Notamacropus eugenii: one gene and its partner. The protein of the gene in region 1 purifies or fractionates together with the protein of each later gene. This does not show direct contact. Links are inferred from orthologs where the notes say so. Each region holds a gene or a part of one and is shown on either strand. Other genes may lie near its edges.

The links. Proteins that work in one complex are often made in the same cells at the same time.
Region 2: the proteins of MOB2 (region 1) and STK38L purify together in Homo sapiens (affinity purification with mass spectrometry; 9 studies listed by BioGRID and IntAct, counting the BioPlex papers as one, with this or other methods). This does not show direct contact. The link is inferred for Notamacropus eugenii from reciprocal best matches to the Homo sapiens genes MOB2 and STK38L.

The regions. Positions count from the first base shown.
Region 1 is NC_092873.1:26,426,309-26,436,749, reverse strand, and holds the start of MOB2 (MOB kinase activator 2), read right to left. Parts: upstream 4,300-10,441; 5' UTR 4,209-4,299; intron 2,865-4,208; 5' UTR 2,788-2,864; coding exon 2,678-2,787; intron 1-2,677. UniProt on the Homo sapiens protein: Stimulates the autophosphorylation and kinase activity of STK38 and STK38L.
Region 2 is NC_092874.1:178,338,697-178,349,584, forward strand, and holds the start of STK38L (serine/threonine-protein kinase 38-like), read right to left. Parts: upstream 4,827-10,888; 5' UTR 4,590-4,826; intron 1-4,589. UniProt on the Homo sapiens protein: Involved in the regulation of structural processes in differentiating and mature neuronal cells.

The DNA of each region.
Region 1 (10,441 bases):
AGATGGACTGGTCATGAGAGAAAATGAGAGGGGCTTGGGACTATCATGTCCTGTGGGAAAGTAACCTAAGAAGGTGGAACCTCTATCACTGCACGGCCCCTCCATACCAGGAGGTCCCAGTGCTATCAGAGTGTTTTCTGTCTTGGAGGAGGCAGCCAGACCACATCAGCAGCACAGTGACTGCTGCTGGGTTTGCAGTCAAGCAATTTTGACTTTCTTCAGACTTAGGGCTAAGGCTGTCTCACAGCAGGACTTCCCCAAGGTGCTGAAGTCTCAGGCCCTCCCCCAGGGGAATGGAGAGTCAACCAGCCCCAAAGGTGACCAAGATGGTGACGGACTTCTCAATGGTATGAGCCATCTAAGGCTTGGCTGGGGACACCTGGGCTGTTCAGCCAGAAGCCCTTATAGGGCTGGGAGAGCTTTTCCTGTATCTCTCCAGAAGGGTCGGGCTCATTCTGCATCACCTCATACAGGGAGAGCCGGGAGTAACATTGGGAATGACAGAGAAGCAGATTTCAGGCCCTTCAAGGACCACTCTCCAGACATGGAAGGGAGGACCACGAGAGCTGCACCTCAGCCCTCACCCCATCCCACAAAGGAGATTGTGGTAGCCCTCTCTGAGGTGTCTCCCTTTGGGGCTGGAGGGAGAGCAGCTCTGCAGCCAGAGCCCTGGCTAATCCAGGGGTAGAGGAACAGAAGAGGCCAGGGGAGGCAAAGCCAGAGAACAATCCCCACCCCTGGTTTGTAGCACTTCTGAGGCACCCTCTGGGATCAAAGAACTGAAAAGCCCAAGAAAAATACAATGATTGTGGTCCATACTAAGTCATCCTCTGCTTGGAGATGGCTGGAAAGGGAGAAGGGGTCACAGGGAAAGCAGATGAACTGGCCACAGCACCATCTCCTTCACACACGTGCCTGTTCACACAAGCACGCACACATACACACACACACACACGCCACATTAATGCTCACAAAAAAGCACATGTGAGTGTGCACACATGCATCTTCTCAGTAACATATAATATGTGTGTACCTCACACATGCAGGCACACGTATGCACACTCACAAATGCACACCTCCAAGAACAAGGTCATGTTAGCAACAACTCTAAGACAACTCTAAGACAAGTGTGAACAGGCTTGGATCCATTTGGTCCCAGTAGGCTCTGTAGGCGGGGGGAGGGGGAGGCTTTGGATTCCACCCTCTGGAGCTCTGGCCAGCATCACTAGCCCTGAGCCACCGGGGCCCTAAACCAACCTCTTCACGCAGGCAGGGGAGAAACCACCAGCAAGAAGGCAGAGCCGGCAGTAGGGGGACCCGCCCTCCAACACAACCGGCAGTGGGCGCGGGTTGAGTCACCCCGAGGAATTGAGTTTTCCCAAAGCACAGCTTACAGCACAGGTAACAAAGGCTCTGGCTGTGCCAGGGCTTCCTTCACAAGAAGGGGAAACATCAGAGAAAGGGCAGAACCCAAAGGAAGGGCAATGACCCACCCTGGGTTCCGTCTCCTCAAAGGGGCCCAGCCAAAACAGACTCCAGGGGCCACTCTGGACTACAGTGGGGTAGGGGGGTCTCCTGGCTGTAGGACATGCTTCCCATCAGCACGAGATGACCCAATCAGGTTTTGGGGGGCTCTGCTAAGACAGAGTCTGGGAAGTGCCTAGGGGCTCCAAGGGAAGAGAGCATAATAAGCATGGCCACCCTGCTTTCCTTCAGCTTGTGAGGGAGTCCCTGGGCCACGGCAGACTTTCCTGATGGCCTGGCGCCAATAAGGTTCCCCATCAGAACCCATCCTAGGCGCTCAGAGAGCTCCAGAAGCCACTGAGTCTAAGGGGCTATACCACTAAGTTTCACTGTGTAACCGCCAGCTTTGTGTCCTGATTTCCCTCCAGGATGGCTCTCTCTAAGACGCAGGGAGGGGGCCCCTCCAGCTCAGAGGTACTGCTCTGGTCTAGGGCACTCAGACACACACTCTACACAAACACACAAACACACTGTACACACACACGCTGTACACACCCATAAACACACATACACTTTACACACTCAGTACACACACTCTACACAAACACACAAACACACTGTACACACACACTCTACATTGTCATACACACACACTGTATACACCCATAAACACACATACACTCTACACACTCAGTACACACACATTCTACACACTCATACACATACATACTACACACTCAGTACACACACATTCTACACACACTCATACATACATACACTGTATACAACTCTCAAACATTGTACACAAACACACTTATACACACACACTCTCATACACATACGCACACGCTGTACACACCCATAAACACACATACACTCTACACACTCTGTACACACACATTCTACACACACTCATACATACATACACTGTATACACTCTGTACATACACACTGTACACACTCTCATCCACATCCATTGTACACACACACTCATACACATACACACACGCTGGACACTCTCTCTCTCACACATGGGCAGGGGCACAGGGCACACACACAACCGTCAGCTAAGATTTCAGACAGACATAGGCATGCTGCCTGCCGGGGCTCTTCTGCCCCCCCCCTCCAAAGGAGAGCACACTCCGGGTGCCACTGCCCTTCCCTGCCAGGACAGCCCCTCCAATGGGGTCCCCTCCCCCCAGGGAATTGTTACCTGAGCACTTTGCCCACGGCCTGGAGGACCATCTTGCAGCTCAGGCCAGTTTTGGGGGGCGGGCTGAGCACGGCTCTGTCTCCAGGGTGGTTACAATGGTCTCCAACCATGGTCCAGGCAAAGCCCAGAAGGGGCGAGGGCGTAGGGGCAGAGCGCTGGGCAGGGGCTCCCTCCCTTCTCCGGCAGTCTGAAAACAAGTCCGACCACATTCACCCAGTGCCCGGTGCACTTCGGCCCGCCTGCTCCCCTCCCTCCCGGGCTCAGCCAATGAGAAGGCGGCCAGAGAAAGGCGAAGCCCCGCCCCATAAGACAAACGGCCGCAGCCTTGGCCCATCTGGAGAACGGGCTGGAGCAGGAGCACAAGGGCCCAGTGTGCAGCAGGCAGGCTGCCTACCTGGGAGGGGCGGGCCTGGCAACCCTAGGCTTGCCAGAGCAAAGCCAAGGCGGCCGTCTCCCCGGGCGCGTGCCCTGCCCCAAAGCCCAGCCTGCAGCCCCTCGCTGGGGAGGCAGCCGGCGACGACCACCCAGACCGAAACAGACGAGCGCTGTGCGGTTTGGTCTGGACTTGGGCACACGGCGAGGAGCTCTGCAGCCAACAGCGGACGCCCACGTTCTCCTGCCCGCCTGCCAAGGAGAGCCCGGAGGGGGCAACAGCATCAGGTTGGGGAACCTTCTCAGTACTGCGCTGGGCGTACACACAGCAGGCGCCACAGAGATGCGGGCTGTTACTGCAGAGGCTCCTCCTGGCCTCAGCCTCGGGCCAGGACCGGGACGGGATCGCACTCCCCACACAAGCCAAGTCCTTCTTCCCGCTCCAGTCCTGCCTTCCCCTGCCCCCGCACTGCCCGGCTCCGGCCTTCCCCATGGCCCACCTCAGGACCTCTGCCCCGGGGCCCTTCTGCCTGGAGGGCCTCTCCAGCCAGCTCTCCATTTCCCCTGAACTGGGGATCTCTCCGAATTAGACTGCTCCTTGAAGTCCAGATCTGTCTTTTGTGTGTGTATAAAAGTTTATTAACTGTCTGCAAACATCTGCATCCGTCCCATCCGCAAAGATCCCTAATGAGCTGCAGATCCCTGCAGGCAAAACGAGCTCCAATCAGCACCTCCACTTGCCTGCCCCTCACCTGCTTCTGAACACCTTCCAGTCAGATTTCCTATCCTCCAGTTTCGTTGAAGTCACCCGGGGATCTCTGAATCGCCAAATCCAACTATGGTTCCTGTCCTCCTCAGATCCTCCTCTGCCGGATCATCTCTAAATCCGCTGACTCTCTGACCAAGCTGGCCAGTCCTCAGGCTCTGGTCCAAGTGTCCCCCAAGGCTCTGCTCTGGCTGCTCGTCCCATCTCCTTCAACCCTAACCTCTCTCCTGACTTTAGGCTAACATTTCCTCTATATTCAACTTCAATTTAACATGTCCAAACCAGAACTTACTGTCTTTGCCCCAAATTTTCTCCTCTTTCTAACTGCCCTGTCACTGTACTAGCACCCCAGTCCCAAGGGCCACAATCCAGGGGGCATCCCCTACTCCTCACCCTCTATTCAGTGCCCATTTTCCAATCAGTCTCGAGTCTTGTCATTTCTGCCTTTGGGACTTCTGTCAGCTTCACCCTTTCTCCCCCTGACCTGCCACTCCCAGGGGGCAGGCCCTCATCCCCTCCCATGTGAACCATAGCAACAATAGCCTGGTGCTTGCATCACCAAAGGGGTCTCCAAGTGCAGCTCAGCCCACGTCACAAACCCTAGTCACTCTAATAGGGTCCCATTATCTCCAGGATCAAAAAGAAAATCCTGTTCTTTCCCTTCTCCCAAGCACTCCTCATTGCTCCTCCCACAAGATGCCAATCCTGGGTACTTTCTCTGGCTGTCCTCCATGCCCAGACCACCCTGCCTTCAGGCTTCCCTCTCCTGATCCCCCTTAATGGCTGTACTTTCCCCTGGATTATCTCCCATCTATGATCTATAACTCATTTGTACATAAAGCTATTTGCAGGTTACCTCTTTCATTAGATTGTATGTTCCCTGAGAGAGTAAGTAGTGGTTTGTGGCATTTAGTGAGTGTTCAGTAGGATGCCTAGCCTGTATCAGGGCCCTAACAGAGGCTTACTGATAGACTTCATGTGGAAGATGGATGACGAGGCTGGCCAAGGAGTGGCCTCAGGTCCCTGTGAGCACACAGTCCTTCATTTTTGGAAATCACGGCGATCATTGCTGTCAGCATCTAAAAGCATGACAAGGTCCATCTCAGCCCTTTAAACATCTGGTCAACTTGAAGATTTATGTTTTATTTACTCTGAGCATTTCTGAAAACTTTTCACCAAACTTTTAGGGCAAATTCTCAAATGAGAAAACTTCTGGGAAGTGCTTCACCCAGCACTTGGCACATAGTAGGCACTTAATAACGGTCTGTTCCCTTGTTCACTGCCTTCCATAAAGACTCCAATGGAGCAGGGGTTCTTGGCCACATAGTCCTTTGGCAGCCTAGTTAAGAGGCCTCTGGGGCCCTCCCTAGAGCAGTGAATTAAAGGGTGCATAAAATGTGCAGGCCTGCACTACCGAAACACATCATTCAGTCATTTGGTGATCACGACCAACTCTTTATCACCCCCATTTATGGTTTTCTTGGCAGAGATTCTGAAGGGGTTCACCATTTCCTTCTGCTCCTTTTACAGATGAGGAAACTGTGGCAAACAGAGTGAAGTGACTTGCCCGGAGTCACAGATCTTCCAACTGCAGCCCGGCACTCTATCCACTGAGCCACCAATATTGAAACAGTTATCAAAATATGAAAAGAATCAGCTTGTGGATGGCAGGGTCAGAGCTCCTACCTAAAATGGAAGGAGTGCTTTTTTTTTTTCAGTCAGTTAACAATCGTTTAATACAGAACCGATCACATACCAGGCACCATTATATATTACAGAAATATAAGCAAAGAGAAGGCCAGCCCCACCCTCAAGTGGGGAAGAAGACGTTTATGGGAGGGGCTCATTCATGGATACAAGGGGTGGGAGGAGGAGTCAGCTCAAGGACAGCAAAGAGCAAATGCTTGAAAATGAGAGGATAGGGCCCAAGAGTCAGTGCTGAAGACCCAAAAAGGTGCCAAAGGGACCTTGGCTGGGCACCTCAGTAGGGAGGGCTGGTCCTTGGAAAGGGCACAGAGAGTCTGGGGGGATCTGCAGGAGAAGAGGAGGAGAAGGAACTGGACCCCGCCTTTCCAGCATGACTTGTGCCCAACACTACAGCCCTCCAGGGGGTGAGGGTGAATGTTTGCAAACTGTGATAGTGCTGTCTTAAAAGCAAATATTTAGTGGGACCAAGGACTATAGATCTGCTCTCACAATCCTGACTTTCTAGGATCAAGGCAGGAGTGAAATCCTCTCCCAGACCTTGAGGGGCCCTGGGGAAGGGAAGAAAAGGCAGCCAAGCACTTCCCCTGGCCCCCTTTCCCACCCACTGAGGACACTGGAGCTCCCTTCCTGAAACTAAGGAGACACTTTCTAAGACATCCTCACTGCTGTCCAGAGAGAGAGGGAGGGCTTTGTAAAAACCCTCACCTCAGGTCCCAGCTGCTCACTGCCCTTCCCACTTCCCCAAGGCAGGCTCGGCACACCTTGATGAACTCTGTCCTAGACTTGTAGTCACAGGAGAACACAGCCTTATTTTCACCCAGGCTTCTTTACTGTCTCCTAAGCAAATGCTGCTCAGTGAGAAGGTTCTGGTATAAAGGGGCTGGAACACAGAAGCAAAGCCCTAGGGCTTGCACAGGGGATGAATGAACCAGGACCATGTCCTGCCCAGTGGCCAACCAGGCTGCCCTAATGGCCTGGGCCAGCTCTGAATTCTGCCTGCACTACCCAGTTAGCCAAGGACATGGTGAGCACCCTGGGGCTCTTCTCTCCAATGCCTCCATTGGTATCAGTGTCACAGGGTCCAGGGTCCCAATGTGGTCCCACACAAGAGGGGTGGGGAAGGAGGAGGGGCCTGACAAATCAGTCCAGCAATCAAAAGGCAGTCCCCTCCTAAGGATCATAAGGATTGGGCAATGACAGTCAGGCACTGGGGTCAGAGATGAAAAGACAAACCCTACCTGCTTCCTCAGGATGGCGGCTAAGGGAAGCCACAGTGCACAGGGTGCTGGGTCGGGAGTCATGAAGACCTGAGTTTCAACCCAGTCTCCAACACTTACTAGTTGTAGGGTCCTGGGCAAGTCACTTAACCATTACCTGCCTCAATTTCCTCATCTATAAAATGGGGATACTAATGGTACCACCTGCAAGGGTAGCTGTGAGGATCCAATGAGATAACATTTGTAAAGCACTTAGCATGGTGCCTGCCATCCAGTAATCACTGCCTAAATGCTCATTTCCTCCCCTCCCTGCTTCCCCATGGCAGGGCCAAATGTTCTGAACTGGCCAAACCCCAGACCTGGGCTACCCTGGGGTTCTTGTTGATGATCCAAAGGGCGACAAGGAGGAATGATGCATCTCCTGTGGGAGGCACCGGACGTCAAGGCTGGCCAGCAGCAGCACTGACCTGGCCCATGGCCCCTGAATGCTACTTCAGCATCACCACCACGACATTTACCCAGCACCCTCGTCTGGCTTAGCACTGGGTTTCAGCACATGGGTGACCAGACAGGGCTTAGTCCCCTTGGCTCACTTCTGGGAATCATCCAAGACAGAACCTGTCTACTAGGAGATTTGAAAGTCAGAAGGTTAAAATATCCCCATTCTCTTGCTCCTTCCCCAAACCAAGGCAGTCAAGCTAACTGGCTGTAGCGATGGACACCAGCTTGCTAACACCTGGCTCAATCCCACAGGCTCATTCAACACTCTCTGACCTACCCTCTGACCTCACATGCACACGCAAATGCACGCAGCTTCTGTTTTCACAGCCTTGTGTCAATACTGCCCAGCAAACATAGGTCACACACCCCTGGAGAGGGCCGATCTGTGTGCAGAGGGAGGTGCCTGAATCAACCTTCTCTATTGGAGGAGGCTGGGGCTGGCAGAGGGAGTAGTCCAAGCACAGTGAGCTCCTGGACACAGGATGCTATTGAAGGGGCCCAAGTTCCTTTCCGCAGGGCTGTGGTTCCTCAGTATGATCCAGGAAGAGCAATGTAGATAGCAACAGAGAAAAGGCTATGAATTTACTTCAGGAAAGGAACCAAAGACCCTCCTTCTCTCTTGGCAGATGTCCGAGGGCCCTTCTCCCTTTCCCTGACAGGCCAGCGCCAGGGGCACACCTCAAACTCCTAGGAATGACAATACATTCCCTACAACATGCATCCCTGACTAAAGGAGCATAGTCTTGGTGACACAGGGGTTGAGGTGTCCTCAGACAGGGATGCCATGTCTTTATTTCTCTGAGCTGTTCCATTCCTGCTATGGGAAATGACGGTCACCCTGGAAGGTGTATCCTGGCCTCAGACCAAGCTGGCCAACACACTGACCTGCCTCCGCTGCACTGGCTCCCCAAGTAGGGCACCAAACGGCTACAGAGTCAAAGCCGATAGAATGGCTGAAAATCGCTGGGCCGGTTACAGCCGGTGGCTGACTGCCACCCGGCCCCAAATCCCTGTCACTCAGACAAGGTGCATGGACCACCACATCTGCCAGCCCTTGCTGTCACCTGGTTTAGGAACCACAAGAAGGAGAAATAAAGCCTTTACCTTCTACTTTCAGAGAGCTCAAGCAGAAAGTCACCAAAGCTCTCTGACTAAATTTTTTGACTTTAATTTGTCATTTGGGATGAAGAAAGCCACTGAAATAATAATAACTTTTTTCCAAGTTGATTTCTGAATTGAATGGATGAACACCAGTTGCAGGGAGCAGCCTCAGGGAAGACACGCTCCTGGAAGGTTCCCCTGCAGGAGATGGGGTAGCTGTGGAAGAGCCCTGGCTGGGAGGGACAGGGAGTCAAAAGGAGCTTAGACAGGAGGGCTATTCAGGAGGGAACTGACTGTTTCATGGCAGGATGTACCCTGCTATATCAAGCAGAACCAGAGGGACCCTCCCTGTGATTCCCACCCTACCCACCCCCATTCATTCTGCAGCTAAACAAGGATCAAAATGGCATCAGGAAATTGGAGAGTCTTCCCCAAAAGCCTCTGAGTGGGACCACTGAAGTAGCCAGAATCTCTGCATTGCTCTAAGGTCTAGGACTATCTCTGGTAAAGGCCCTCATCCCCTACAACAGCTTCTTGACCAGACTCCCTGCCTCCAGCTTAGACAGGACTGAGCTGTGTCTTCTGGTTCTGCCAGAAAACACCAAGATCTCTGTCAAATGTAGGAAGTCCATCCCCCTGGGACTTCAGACTGCATTATCCTGCCTGCCCTCATGCAGGCTACATCCCAGCCACAGAAGCTGACTGACTGGCTTCCACAAAGGACATGGGTCTTCACTCATTGGATCAAATGAAATGGGATTCAGAGAAGTTGGTTTTCAACAATAAGAAAGCTGACTAGCTTTCTTATTGCAAACAATGAATGTGGACCCTTGGCAAGCAGTACGCTCAATCCTGAGGGGTTTGGGGTTTTGTTTTGTTTTGGTTGGGGCTGTGTGCGATTAATTTGTAATAAGACTTTTCCAATTTAACTCTCCTCTTTGAACACAATGCAATCAACACCTACTGTGTACCTACTACGCACAAGACATTGGTAATACAAAAAGTAAACAAGCCCCAGTCCTTGCAGCAAGGAGATGACATTCTGCTAGGAAAGGAAAAGGATCAAGAGCTCACTGTGTGCCAAAGCCAAAGGCTGGAGAACACAAATGAAATAGCCCCTGCTGTCTGAGGGCTGGAATTTTAAGACTGAACAGATGTTCAGAAAGGGCTCTATTCACAGAAGAAGAGAGACTGAGGAGTCCTGCTTCAGGTTAGCTGAGAGGCCCCACAGTCCTGAGGGTTCAGTGGGCAGGGGTCTGGGAGGTGTAGATGCAAAGCAGATACCAAGCCCAGAAGCCCTCAGCATCTAATGGAAGGGCAGGTGGTAAGGCTTGGTGGTCCGCCATGTTACTAGAAAGAATGTATTTTCAAATGGAGGGGAAGAGGCAGCTAGGTGGCACAGTGGATAGAGCACTGCCGCTGGAGTCAGGAGGACCTGAGTTCAAATCTCGTCTCAGACACTTACTACCTGTGTGACCCTGGGCAAGTCACTTAACCTAGACTGCCTCCTCCCCCCAAAAGAAAAGTAAAATGGAGGGGAAAATGGGGGGGAAAGGGAGCAGACAATGGCTGAACCTCACCCTCATCTGAACTGGGGGGTGGGGGGGCAGGGTGGTGATAAAAGGATGGATGAATATGGATTCAGGGAGGCCAGAGTGAGAAGCAAAACAGACTTGAGAAAGGAAAGGATGTTTTTAAAAGGAAGAATATAAGAGTATATGATAGTGAGAAGTCTACAGGTAGCAATCCTACGAATGTGATGACAAAATATGGATAAACCTACCATCTTCAGAAGAGGGGAGGGGAAGGAGGGAGGAAGGCAGAAAAATCAGGAACTCAAAATCTTGTAAAAATGAAAGCTAAATTTTTATTGATATATAATTGGGGAAAAAATAAAGTACTATTTAAATTTTAAAAAAAACAAAACACTATGAATGTGAGTGGGATGAATTCATCCATGAAAGAAAAGTAGAGGGCAGAATGGATTAGAAACCAGAATCCAACAATAGGCTGTTTATGAGAGACACATCTGAAACAGAAAGACACGCAAAGAGTTAAAATACGGGACTGGAGCAGAATCTATTATCCTTCAGCTGAAGT
Region 2 (10,888 bases), on another chromosome or scaffold:
TCCAATATGCAGCATTCCCACATCTCCACTCCAGGCAAGATTATCTGTAGCAACTCAGCCCTTTCCCAGTAATAGGGAAGCTAAACAAGTCTTTCCCTCTCCCTGGTGATCAAGCCCTTAGAAGCCTTGACCCATGTACTAGGGCAGAGACTTGAAATTGTCTCAATAGTTTTAAGCCTCTACTTGAGACAGAGTTATTCTTTCTCTTCTCCTCAACCTATGCCATAACACACCAAAGGCAGAGCAGACCAGAACTTCCATCAAATCCTTCACTCCTCAAGCTGATTCTGCTATATGCCCGTTTCCAGAAGATTTATTAAGACAACATAGTATTTCTCTGTATCAGCAAAAACAATGATGAAAACACAATGACATCTAATCGATGACAGAATCTCTTGTCCCCTTCCTAGGGGTGACAGATAATGGAAAAATCTTCCAGACTCTACTTACCTTTAGTTCTTTCTAAAAATAGTATTAATATTTGGAAGTTTCCTGGAGGAAATATGTTTGAGAAGACCTTCCAGTGCAGATCGGTGACTCCCTACGCTCCTAGGAACAACAGATTGATTCATCTACCTATGACTCGGGATTACTTCAGTTCATCGCTGAAAGAACATAGTTCACTACTGTTATAAAAATAACTGATATTTACATAATGATTTGCAAACATTATTTCATTTCTCAGCAACTCAGTGTGATGGGTACTAAAGATATTATCCTCATTTTGTGTAAACTTGGTCTCCCAGAGCTTAAGTGACTAGATTAGTAATCACATCAAAAGTAATGAGATTTGAACAGAAGTTTTCTTGATTCCTAGTTCAGAAGAAAAAAATCACAGTTTCCTACCCACCCACTCCCAATAACAATGTTACAATGTATTATTCCAACACTACAAATAACAAAAAATCTCCTATCCTAAAAGTTTTAGAAGCAATAATAAAATATAAGAATACTTTTTATTCTAGTCTGAAAGGATTTAGAAAAGTTACCAGATATGAAATATAAATTCACTCCTTTTCCTTTACACTTGTTCAGTTCTGAAATTATTCAAAACCCTATCTCAGTTCTTTTTAAAAATTTAGCTATTTGTTTAAATAAGAACTAGGAACAATGATATACACCTATTAAATATACTCTGACTTTAGAGTTCAGCTAAAAAATTCCGAAGATTCAATAGTCTGGCAAATTGTGAGCCACAATAATGAATGCTTTAAGACTGTCATTAGATATAGGCTAGTTAATACCCAAACAAGTCTAATTTCTTGTTTTAAATCCAAATTGGCAACTGTCAGTAAGGATTCTCACCAGTAGAAAGGATTCTATCTGTACCACGAAGGGCGATGTCCAAAATGAATTAACATCTAAAGGTACTTGAAAGATTACTTACTTATCTGGCTTTTCATTGTTTCAAGTTTCTTCCAGGAAAATTATCCTTTTGTTCCTAAATTTAGTTAGAGCAGTACAATGGCACAAACTAACTCCCTGAAACTAGACATAAGATTAATCATTGTGAATTTGACCATCCATTTCATCTGTTATCATCTGACTATCCTGAAACAATTTCATCTGGTCAATTAAAAATCTCTCTTCCCATGAAGACTAATTTTAGGTTTTACAAAGACTAAAGCAAGTACCATGAATCTCAAGCTCAATATTTTTTTAACTTAGAAAAGAAAATAAGACAAAGTAGTAATTCGTATTACATTCTTGAAGTAGTGGTAACACGCATTGCAATTATATTACATTGTATCTAAGGCCTTAAAAGCTAGCTTTGTTATCCATTCACAAAACTCAGCCTATTTAAAACAGCAGTACAGTAACAGTTTCTGAAGATGTTAACTCTAACCAAAACAAAACTGGTCCTTCCCCGCTCATTTTAATGTGATCACCATCACAATTACAATACTGTTTGTCTGATTTATACCTTGTCACAGCAAACAAAAGACTCTTATAAAATAAAATGAAATTTCAGCATTTGATTTTGCATTACTCTTCGTGCTGAAACACTTTACCTAAGGCAAATATCAGAACCGAGTCAATAGTTTAAAAAAAAAACCATAGTTTTCTGAAAAGCACAATTTCTCCTTTGTGCTGAGAACTTGAGACATTCCCCCTTTTCTCTAAAGTAACCTTTCAGCATAAAAAAACTGGCAAGGACAGAAATCCTATGCTTGCACAAATACTCCCAGTCACCTGAGTTTTTATTTGTTCTAACAACAAAAATTACCTATACAATTAACAGCTCCCATTTATATTTGTCTATCACTTTGCTGTACAGTATCTCATTTGACCTTGGCAATGCTCCTGTGAGGTTGGCAGTGCATCCTCATTTTACAGATATGAAAACTGAGGCTTAGTATATTAGTGATTTGGACTGGGTCAAGCCAATTCAACAAATATTTTTATGTACTTGCTACGTACAAGGCACCATGCTAGGCAGGGGGATCCAAAGACAAAAACACATAGACATTCTACTAGGGAGGGGGGAGTAATGAAATAAGTCAGTGCTAAGGTTAAGACTAAACTAGCTCTTCTGTAAAGTACAAATAGCAAGAAAAGACTAACTATTCCTATTTAGCACATAATTTTACGAAGTTCATGGTTTTCATTCTCCAATACCAGGGCAGCTTTCAAAAATTCAAATAAATCAATTCATAAATTATATCTATTTGTTTGGGGTTTTTTTTGAGAGACGATCTAGTGTAGTGGATATAGTGCTGAACTTAGAGTCAGGAAGACCTGTGTTCTAATTCTACTTTAGATACTTTTTGACCATGGGAAAGTCAACTAAGGTTTTTAAGCCTTACTTTTTTCAGCTGCAAAATGTTACGCTAGTACTTCTACTACCAACTTTAAAGGATTGTTGAGAGGATCAGATAATATTTGTAAAGGGCTTTGATAAACTTAAAAGTATTATAAAAATGTCCTTTTTAAAAAAAAATCTCATACCCATCTTAATCGATTTGAAAACTACCATCAGCCATCTTAACTCCTGACCAGAAGAGCAAAAAAAAGGTACTAAATTAAATTAAAAGTTTTATTGGTTACTGCTGTTCTAAATGAATAATGATAAAACAATTCAATCCACTTTTTGAAATGGAATTAGCCATCACCAATCCAAAGGCAGTTATGTCGTTTAAGGCAAATGTTTTACTTTGAACTCACAAGAGGGGCTATTTCACCTACAGGAACTGAGCTACTAAAAAGAAAGGTGGAAAGCTGGCTTTAAGAAGGTATAATAAGCTTAATTGTTGTCTATATCCTGAGGCACAGTAAGAAGAGAATGGTTAGCCAAACACAAAGGGGTTTCCAATGTCATGTATAGTTTTTAGACAAAGAACATTCAAAAAACTGCAGCTGGCTAATAAAACTAAGAATTCCAAAAAGAAGTTTCAAGCAGAGTGACCTGACATGTTAGAGTACAGAAAAAGACACCACTAGAAATCTCTCAGTACATCTTCCACTTTCAAGTTTAGAAAGAAAAAACCCATGAATCAGACATGGAAAAGTGATACACCCAAGCCATTTTCCAATCATTTGTTCCCGTCAACAACTTATCATAAACTATAAGAAACAGGTAAAGATTTGCTTAATGCATCTTTGTGTTTGTAATAAAGTAAACAACAGCATTCTTTTGTACAATCCACTCCCCCTACCCAAACCTTTTATTTTGTTTTAAATGCTCTAAAACACATAATTCATAACAACATTATAAATCAGAGTTTAACATGGCTAACCTGAAGAACACCTGGCTTTTAGAATAGTTTGTCCTACAGACATCAATCTGGCAACTTTTTTAAGATGACATGCTCCCTACACTTCAGGTCCAAGCTTTTCCCCTCCTGCCCCAACCAAAATGCTTCTATCTCTTCCCTTTACTAAGCATAAGAAAAGGGGGAAAAAGGGCTAGAAAGTGCTGTTAAAAAGGAAAGGGTAAAGGGTTCCAGGATCAAGGCGGTGAATTTTTAAGCTAGGTTTTGACATATGTGCTGCTTTTGGGAGCCGGAGGATTTTTTTTTACTGTGGGTCTATCAGTGAAATGTTTAGCAATCTGACGCATCAGTTTTTAGAAATCGTATCAAGCAGCCCCCACAATTGGGAGTTATCCCTAGCACCCTTCCCCTCCATTAAAACAAATAAACAAACAAACAGCTGGGGGGGCAGGGAACCGAGGAGGTTAGAAGGAACTAGTGAGGGGACAGAAAATTGTTTATGTTAGGGACTTGCGGGGAATAGGGAGGATGGAGGCGGGAGGAAGGGAGGCAAGAAGAGAAGCATCAGAGGACAAAGATACCTCCCTTACCCTTCAGGTTACCTCTCCAGGCAGGCAGGAACAATATCAGCCCCGGGGATCTGGAAGGACCATGGCCCTAGCTGCAGCTACATCTTGGCAGGGATGAGCTAGGCTCTCTCCGGGCGCTCCCCCCCGCCCCCCCCCCCAAAATAAAACACAAAGAGAATCTGCTGCTTCTTCTTGCTCTGACCAGAGTTGGGACTAGGACGGGGGGCACGAGAGAGGCAGCGGGGCTGGGGGTGGGGAACAGAGCGGCCGGAGGACTGGGCGAGGTGGGCATCTCTGCGGGACTCACCTCCTTCGCCTCCTTTCGCCTCCTCCTCCTGCTGCTGCCTCCCCTCAGACTGCAGCCGCCTGTGTGTGCGTGCGTGTGTGCGGGTGCTGGTGTTCTTGTGTGTGAGTGTGAGTGTGCGTGTGCCTCACTTCCTCCCCGGCTCCCCCTCCTCCCTCTCCCGCTCCGCCTCCCCGGGAGGTGGGGACTCGGGCGCCGGAGCCTGAATCTCCGAGCTGCCTCCTCGGCACCAACTCTCGCGAGCTGGAGTAGCCCCCTCCCCCCTGAAGTCACCCCCCCAAGCCTTCTTCTGTCTCCTCCCCTCGCCCCCCACGTCTCCCTCCTCGTCCCCCTCCGCTCTGGGGCTGCCAGCCTCTGAATGCGTCTCCCGGCTCTGCACCCACCCGTCACCTGGCTCTCGGGGCCTCCCCTTCCCTCCGCGGCCACCTGGCTGTGCCCGAACCTGAGCGAGGAGCCCCGGGGGGGCGCCGCTCGGCCCACGGGTGCCTTCCCTTTCTCAATCAAAGCAAGTCAACTACTTTCCTGGGTGTCAAGTTCGAGAGAGGCAGACCCTGGTCTGGCTGGAGGTGACGGGGCAGCCGCCGGGACGAGCCAATACACCACGTTCGGTGGCTGGTGGTTTGGTTTTTGTGTGGGTATCTCCAGGGTGGGCTGGGTTGTTTGGGTTTTTTGTAATGTAGAATTTGCGAGCCCAAAGGATGGCTGGAAGGCGGCGAATGGAATTCCTCCTTTGACTTCTGAGGAAACATTTATTGATGAGGCCATAAGGTTTAAAGCCTAAGAGTCTAGGGTTTTAAAATTACATTTTATTTTTTCCCAATTATCAAGCATTTTTTTAATCCTTCTCCCCCCTAGAAAATAAAAAAACTTTGTTACAAGCATAATCAAGCTTAACTAGTCTGATCAATACAATCATCCAGGTCAGTTCCAAAGAACGTGTGATCAAAATGCCATCTACCTCCAGAGAGAATTGATTAACTCTGCGTGCTGATTGAAGCAGTTTCCTTTACTCTATTTTTCTTGCACACACCCCCAATGTGGAAATATGTTTTGCGTGACTTCATATATAATAAGTATTTTTTTCTTGCTTTCTCAGTGGGTTGGGAAGGGGATGGAGAGAATTCAAAAGTAAAAATAATTTTTTTTTTAAATTGGAAAAAAAATCCGAAGCATAGTCAAACAAAACAAGCTCCCATCTTGGCCAAAACTGGGTTTCTGTTTCTAGATATTTAGTCTGTCAACTCTGTAGCAGGAAGTGGGCAGCATTCTTTATATTCTGTCCTTTGGAACTATTGATCATTGCATTGATCAGAGTTCTTAAGTAGAAGACCATGTTTTGACTCATTATGTGACCAGATGTGCCAGGTAAGAGAAGGGAATGAACATTTACGTAATACCTACTATTTGCCAGCAAGTATGCTAGGCCTTTTGTACAAATATTGTCTCATTTGATCTTCACAATATCCCAGCAAGGTAGATCTAACCTCCACAAGTCTCAGTTTCCTTGCCTATAAAATGATAATCTTTTCCTTGCCTACATGGGAGGATTTAATCTATCAAAAAGCATTTATCAAGCACCTTCATTTTATTGTGCCAGGGACTAATTATACAAAGACAAAAATGAGGCAGTCTCTGGCCTTACAAAGCTTACCATTCCAAAGGAGGAAACAGTATACATAAGAAGATAAAAATATATGTCAAAGCAAAAATATAAGCGAAATAAATACAAGGTAATGGGAAAAGAGATCAGGAAAGTCCCTGTGTATAATGAAACTCTTGATCTGAGCTTTGTAAGAAATCCTAAAAGGCTGAGATGAGTAGGCATTGGGGAACCATCCTGCACAAAGATGGAATGTGAAATATGTAAGAAACAAAACAAGGTTAGCTTGACTAGATGTGGAACGGTAGAATTTGTTTTGGGCTAACCAAAAAGAAATAACTCCTAAAGGCTGCTGACCATTCTATCCCTGACCAAGTATTAAAGGTCTTATAAAATACACAATGTGTTAGGAGCAGCATATATTCCAGAAAGGGCAGGCAAAATTTTACGTTAAAAAAAGCAATAAAACCACCGTTGGTATTTAAGGTTCATGACACAGGTTCATCATACACTTCTGACCTGGTAAGGAGAACTGTACAGAAAGGAAGCAATACTGTTGTTCGGTCATTTTTCATGTCCGACTCATTTGGCAAAGACACTGGAGGTTTACTATTTCCTCCTCCAGCTCATTTTACAAATGAGGAAATGAAGATAAATGGAGGTTAAGTAGCTTACCTACAGTCACATAACTCGTATGTGTCTAAGGGCAGATTTGAACTCAGACCTTCCCATCTCCAGACCTAGTGCTCTATCCACTGAACCACCTAGCTGCCTCAGTACTGCATCTTTGCTGAATATACATTCCATGCTATTGTTTAGTAATTTTTTGGTAAGATGTTATATTTAATACCAGTGTTTCATTCAGTTCTAGTACTAATCCTGAAGCAGGCCTGAACCAAAATATATCCCTCTCTCCCCTCCTCCTGAATGTCACAATGTATAAAGGTGTCATTGCCCCCAGAGAACCTCATTCAGAGAGTTCACCTCCAGCACTGAATGAAGGCTAATACAAGACCTTATATGTTTCAGGAGAGGTACAAAAAGAAATAGAAAAGAAATCTTCTGTTCAATGGGTTTTTTCCCCTCTCTCACTTTTGTGCCTTTTCCCTTTTCCCAGTATTGTAGTGTAATGGAAATCTGCCTTCTATCTCCCTGGCAGGATCTCAGGTTCTCAATTCTTCTTGCCATCTTGATTCCACAACAGTATTCCAATCCACTAGGTGCTACCATAAGCATAAGTGGAGGTCCCACTGCTAATAAATAGCAGAAATCTCTTTCCCTTTTCTATACTCTCCAAGAGATGCAAGTGTAAAGGTGAGGGCAAAGTCTTGAGGCCTTCCCTGAGAGCTGGGTTTTCTCCTCCATAATAAACTTTCCTCTTGACTAGCTTAGCCCAATTGCTAATATAGTGGGTTTTTGTTTTTGTTTTTATTTTGCTTTTAAGCTCTAAATTTCTCCTATTTTCCAACAACAGTGAGCAGTGAGAGAAAGATACAAGTGGGGGCAAATCCATTGTTTCTTCCAAACCTCAAACTAGTGTCCTACCCCTTTTATATAGAAATAGAGCCCTCCTTGTTTGTGCCACTAACCTCTTGTGTTTCATCAAGTGTATTTGGATGGATTAATTGATCTGAGTTCCTCAAATAAATATACCCCAAATAAAGCCATTTGTTCTAAGCTGTGATTACACCCTCTTCATCAACACCCTGTTACTAAACTCTGTCCTCCTGTACCCTCTCCGTCTCTGTCTCTGTCTCTGTCTCTCTCTGTCTCTGTCTCTCCCTCTCTCTCTCTGTCTCTCTTTCTCCCTCTCTCTCTCTCTCTGTCTCTGTCTCTGTCTCTCTCTGTCTCTGTCTCTCCCTCTCTCTCTCTGTCTCTCTCTCTGTCTCTCTGTCTCTCTCTCTCTCTCTCTGTCTCTGTCTCTCTCTCTCTGTCTGTCTGTCTCTCTCTCTCTCTCATCAACCAATAATAGTGGGCAAATTAGCGAACCTTCAAGTGTGCATCGAAATGAGAAGAGGTGAAAAGGACCAGTACAATGGATGGACCCTGCAGTTTATAAAGTAAGACCTTTGTACACAAACTCTCCCAACAGGTTTTTGAGGGTGCTTGACCTGGAGATAACAAAGAGCCTTTATTATGCATGCTTAGACAGATGATTATTAATGGGACCATCTGAAATAATTATCACTTTCTAAACTTAGAGAACAAAAGTTGAAAATTATTCCCACAGGTATATGACCGAGTCATTTAACACCTGGATTAATTAGGTACTAAAGCTGTAGGAATTCCAGCACTGGGGGCAAAGTCAGTGAAATACGATGGAAGAGAGAGAAAGGGGCTTCTAAGGTGAAACTGTTTCTGTGCCTTGTTGAAGTAACCTGGAGACTGAAGTCACAGGAGTTAATAGGAGAAACCTAGGAATTATGAAGGAAGAGAGAGTTGCATGAAGGTCCATAGATATCAGCAAAAGATATAAAGAGGGAGGAGTGAATTTTAAAAGAACAGAGATAATTGCTAAGTGGTGGTAGCAGAGTGAGGTTATGCAAGTGTCAGTTTAGAGCAAAAATATTCCAGTTCCTTGAGGCAGCAGGGTATAGTAGATAGAGTACTAGATTTGAAAAGCAGTGGATCCAAGTGCAAATCCTAACTCTCCCACTTAACTGTATGAACATGAGCAAATCACTTTGTTTCTGTGGGCCTCATTTTCCTCATCTGTATTTAATAAGTTATACTTCATAGAGAGCCAGGCTGCTATATTGGCCATTCAGCATTCTAGAGTGCCTTGAGGGTTGGAGTGTCTTTCTTCTGTATTCCATTAACCTGAGCCTCTACTGGCTATATTGTCCCTACCATTAGGTACCAGTGACTATTCTCCTTTCTGTTAGGTACCAATGACTAGTTTCCCAATTCAATTTAAATCCAAAGTTAGCTTTTCTAAACTTAGAGAACAAAAGTTGAAAATTATTCCCACAGGTACATAACAGTCATTTAACACCTGGATTAATTAGGTAAAACTGTAAGAATTCCATAAAAAAAATATTTACTTCAAAAAATCATAAAAACAAATGTACAAACATTTTCCCCCAGCACCTCAAGGACAGACTCTTCCTCTAAGTAAGTATAACCTTAGTGTCTGGGGAAGAGCACACTCAAAATTTAGCTCAGTTCCTTTGTAGCATTGGTCCCATCAACTTCGTGTCCAGATGAAGTATAGCTGTTGCATAAGTCTTCATCTCAGCCTCTGACATGGGTGCAGAAAGTCATTCTCTAAAGTCTTCTCTTTGTCTTGGAGGCATCAACACTCCCCTGGCTGCAAACCGTGACTGGAAGGCCAGCTTGCTGCTGATGCCCCTGATGCCCCTGAAGCCCCCTCCAGATCTTTCTAACTCACAAAGTTGGAGACTCCATTTCCTTCACCTAAAATGGAAAAGAACAAACATAGAGCCAAAAAAGGATAGAAACTGGGAAAGGCTGGGACCAAATTTACGGGGAGGCTTGGGGGATGGCTGCCATACTGTTTTCCCCATGATTGCCATGCTGATATTGCATTATCCCAAGCAATCCTCCAAGACTGGATCCCCAGCCCAATCAGCTTGTGGAAAGGAGGGGGGAAGGAAATCTTCCCCAATGGGAGGGCAGGTCTCAGGAAAGGGATATGATAGCCACGAGACCACTGGGGGTCTGGAGAGAGAGCAAGCATAGAGGAAATGTTGTGTAGGGGAAAAGAAGGAGCACCTGGACTCTGTATGTTAGTGCCTGGACCAATGCTTGCTGCCCTGTTAAGAACAGTTTATGTTGACAAAGCAGTTAGTGGTAGTTCTGAGTGTTACTACAGAACCACCGTTGACCTCTAGCCCTATTCTGCCATTCACTCTTCTTTATGATAGTACCAAATGGGCAGAACACCCATTACCTTGGTAAGATAGACCGGGGAAGGAAAAACTTAGTAAAAGATGTTCAGCTTTGTCTGCTGAGAGCACCACCCACCTGCATGACGAAAAGGTAAAGTTCTAGACACTGATTGCATTACCCTCCCTAAAGCTAAGTACATAATAGGTACTCAAAAACTACTTGATGATTGGAGGAGTTTTATTTATCATGAATGATAAAACCCTACTAAAGAGCTGTTCCAGGGCCTTATCAGGGTGTGAAGGTAACTTAGTGATCCGAAAGTCTTTCAGTTAAGTACAAGTTTTGGCAGGTTCTACCAAGGAGAAAAAAAAAATTTTGAATGCAAACCTAGTACTACCACATATGCATATATATGTGTATATATATATATATATATATGTTGTGAGACTGAAATGAGATGCCATTTATAAAGCACTTAGCACAGTGCCTGGTACATAGTAGATGTTCTGTAAATACTAATTTTAATGATGATCATGGTGGTGATAGCGGTGATGACGACTGATAATGTCTTTTTTCTGAGGAAAAACAATCCGAGTTCGGATAGTCTCGTTGCTTGGTTGACCTCAGGTTGATGAATTTCCAGCAACTTTCAAAGACCATCTACTAAGTAATAGAGAGGTCAAAATTTCCATTTATGGAGGAGCATCCATATGAATAAAATTACAACTCTAAGAAGTATAAACAATGATGGGCAGAGTTATAACTTGCCTTGGGGCATACAATATGGAGGTTAATTTTCAAAAACAAATTCAATGGGAGGGAGTGACCATCAGTCAAAAATTTTAGACCT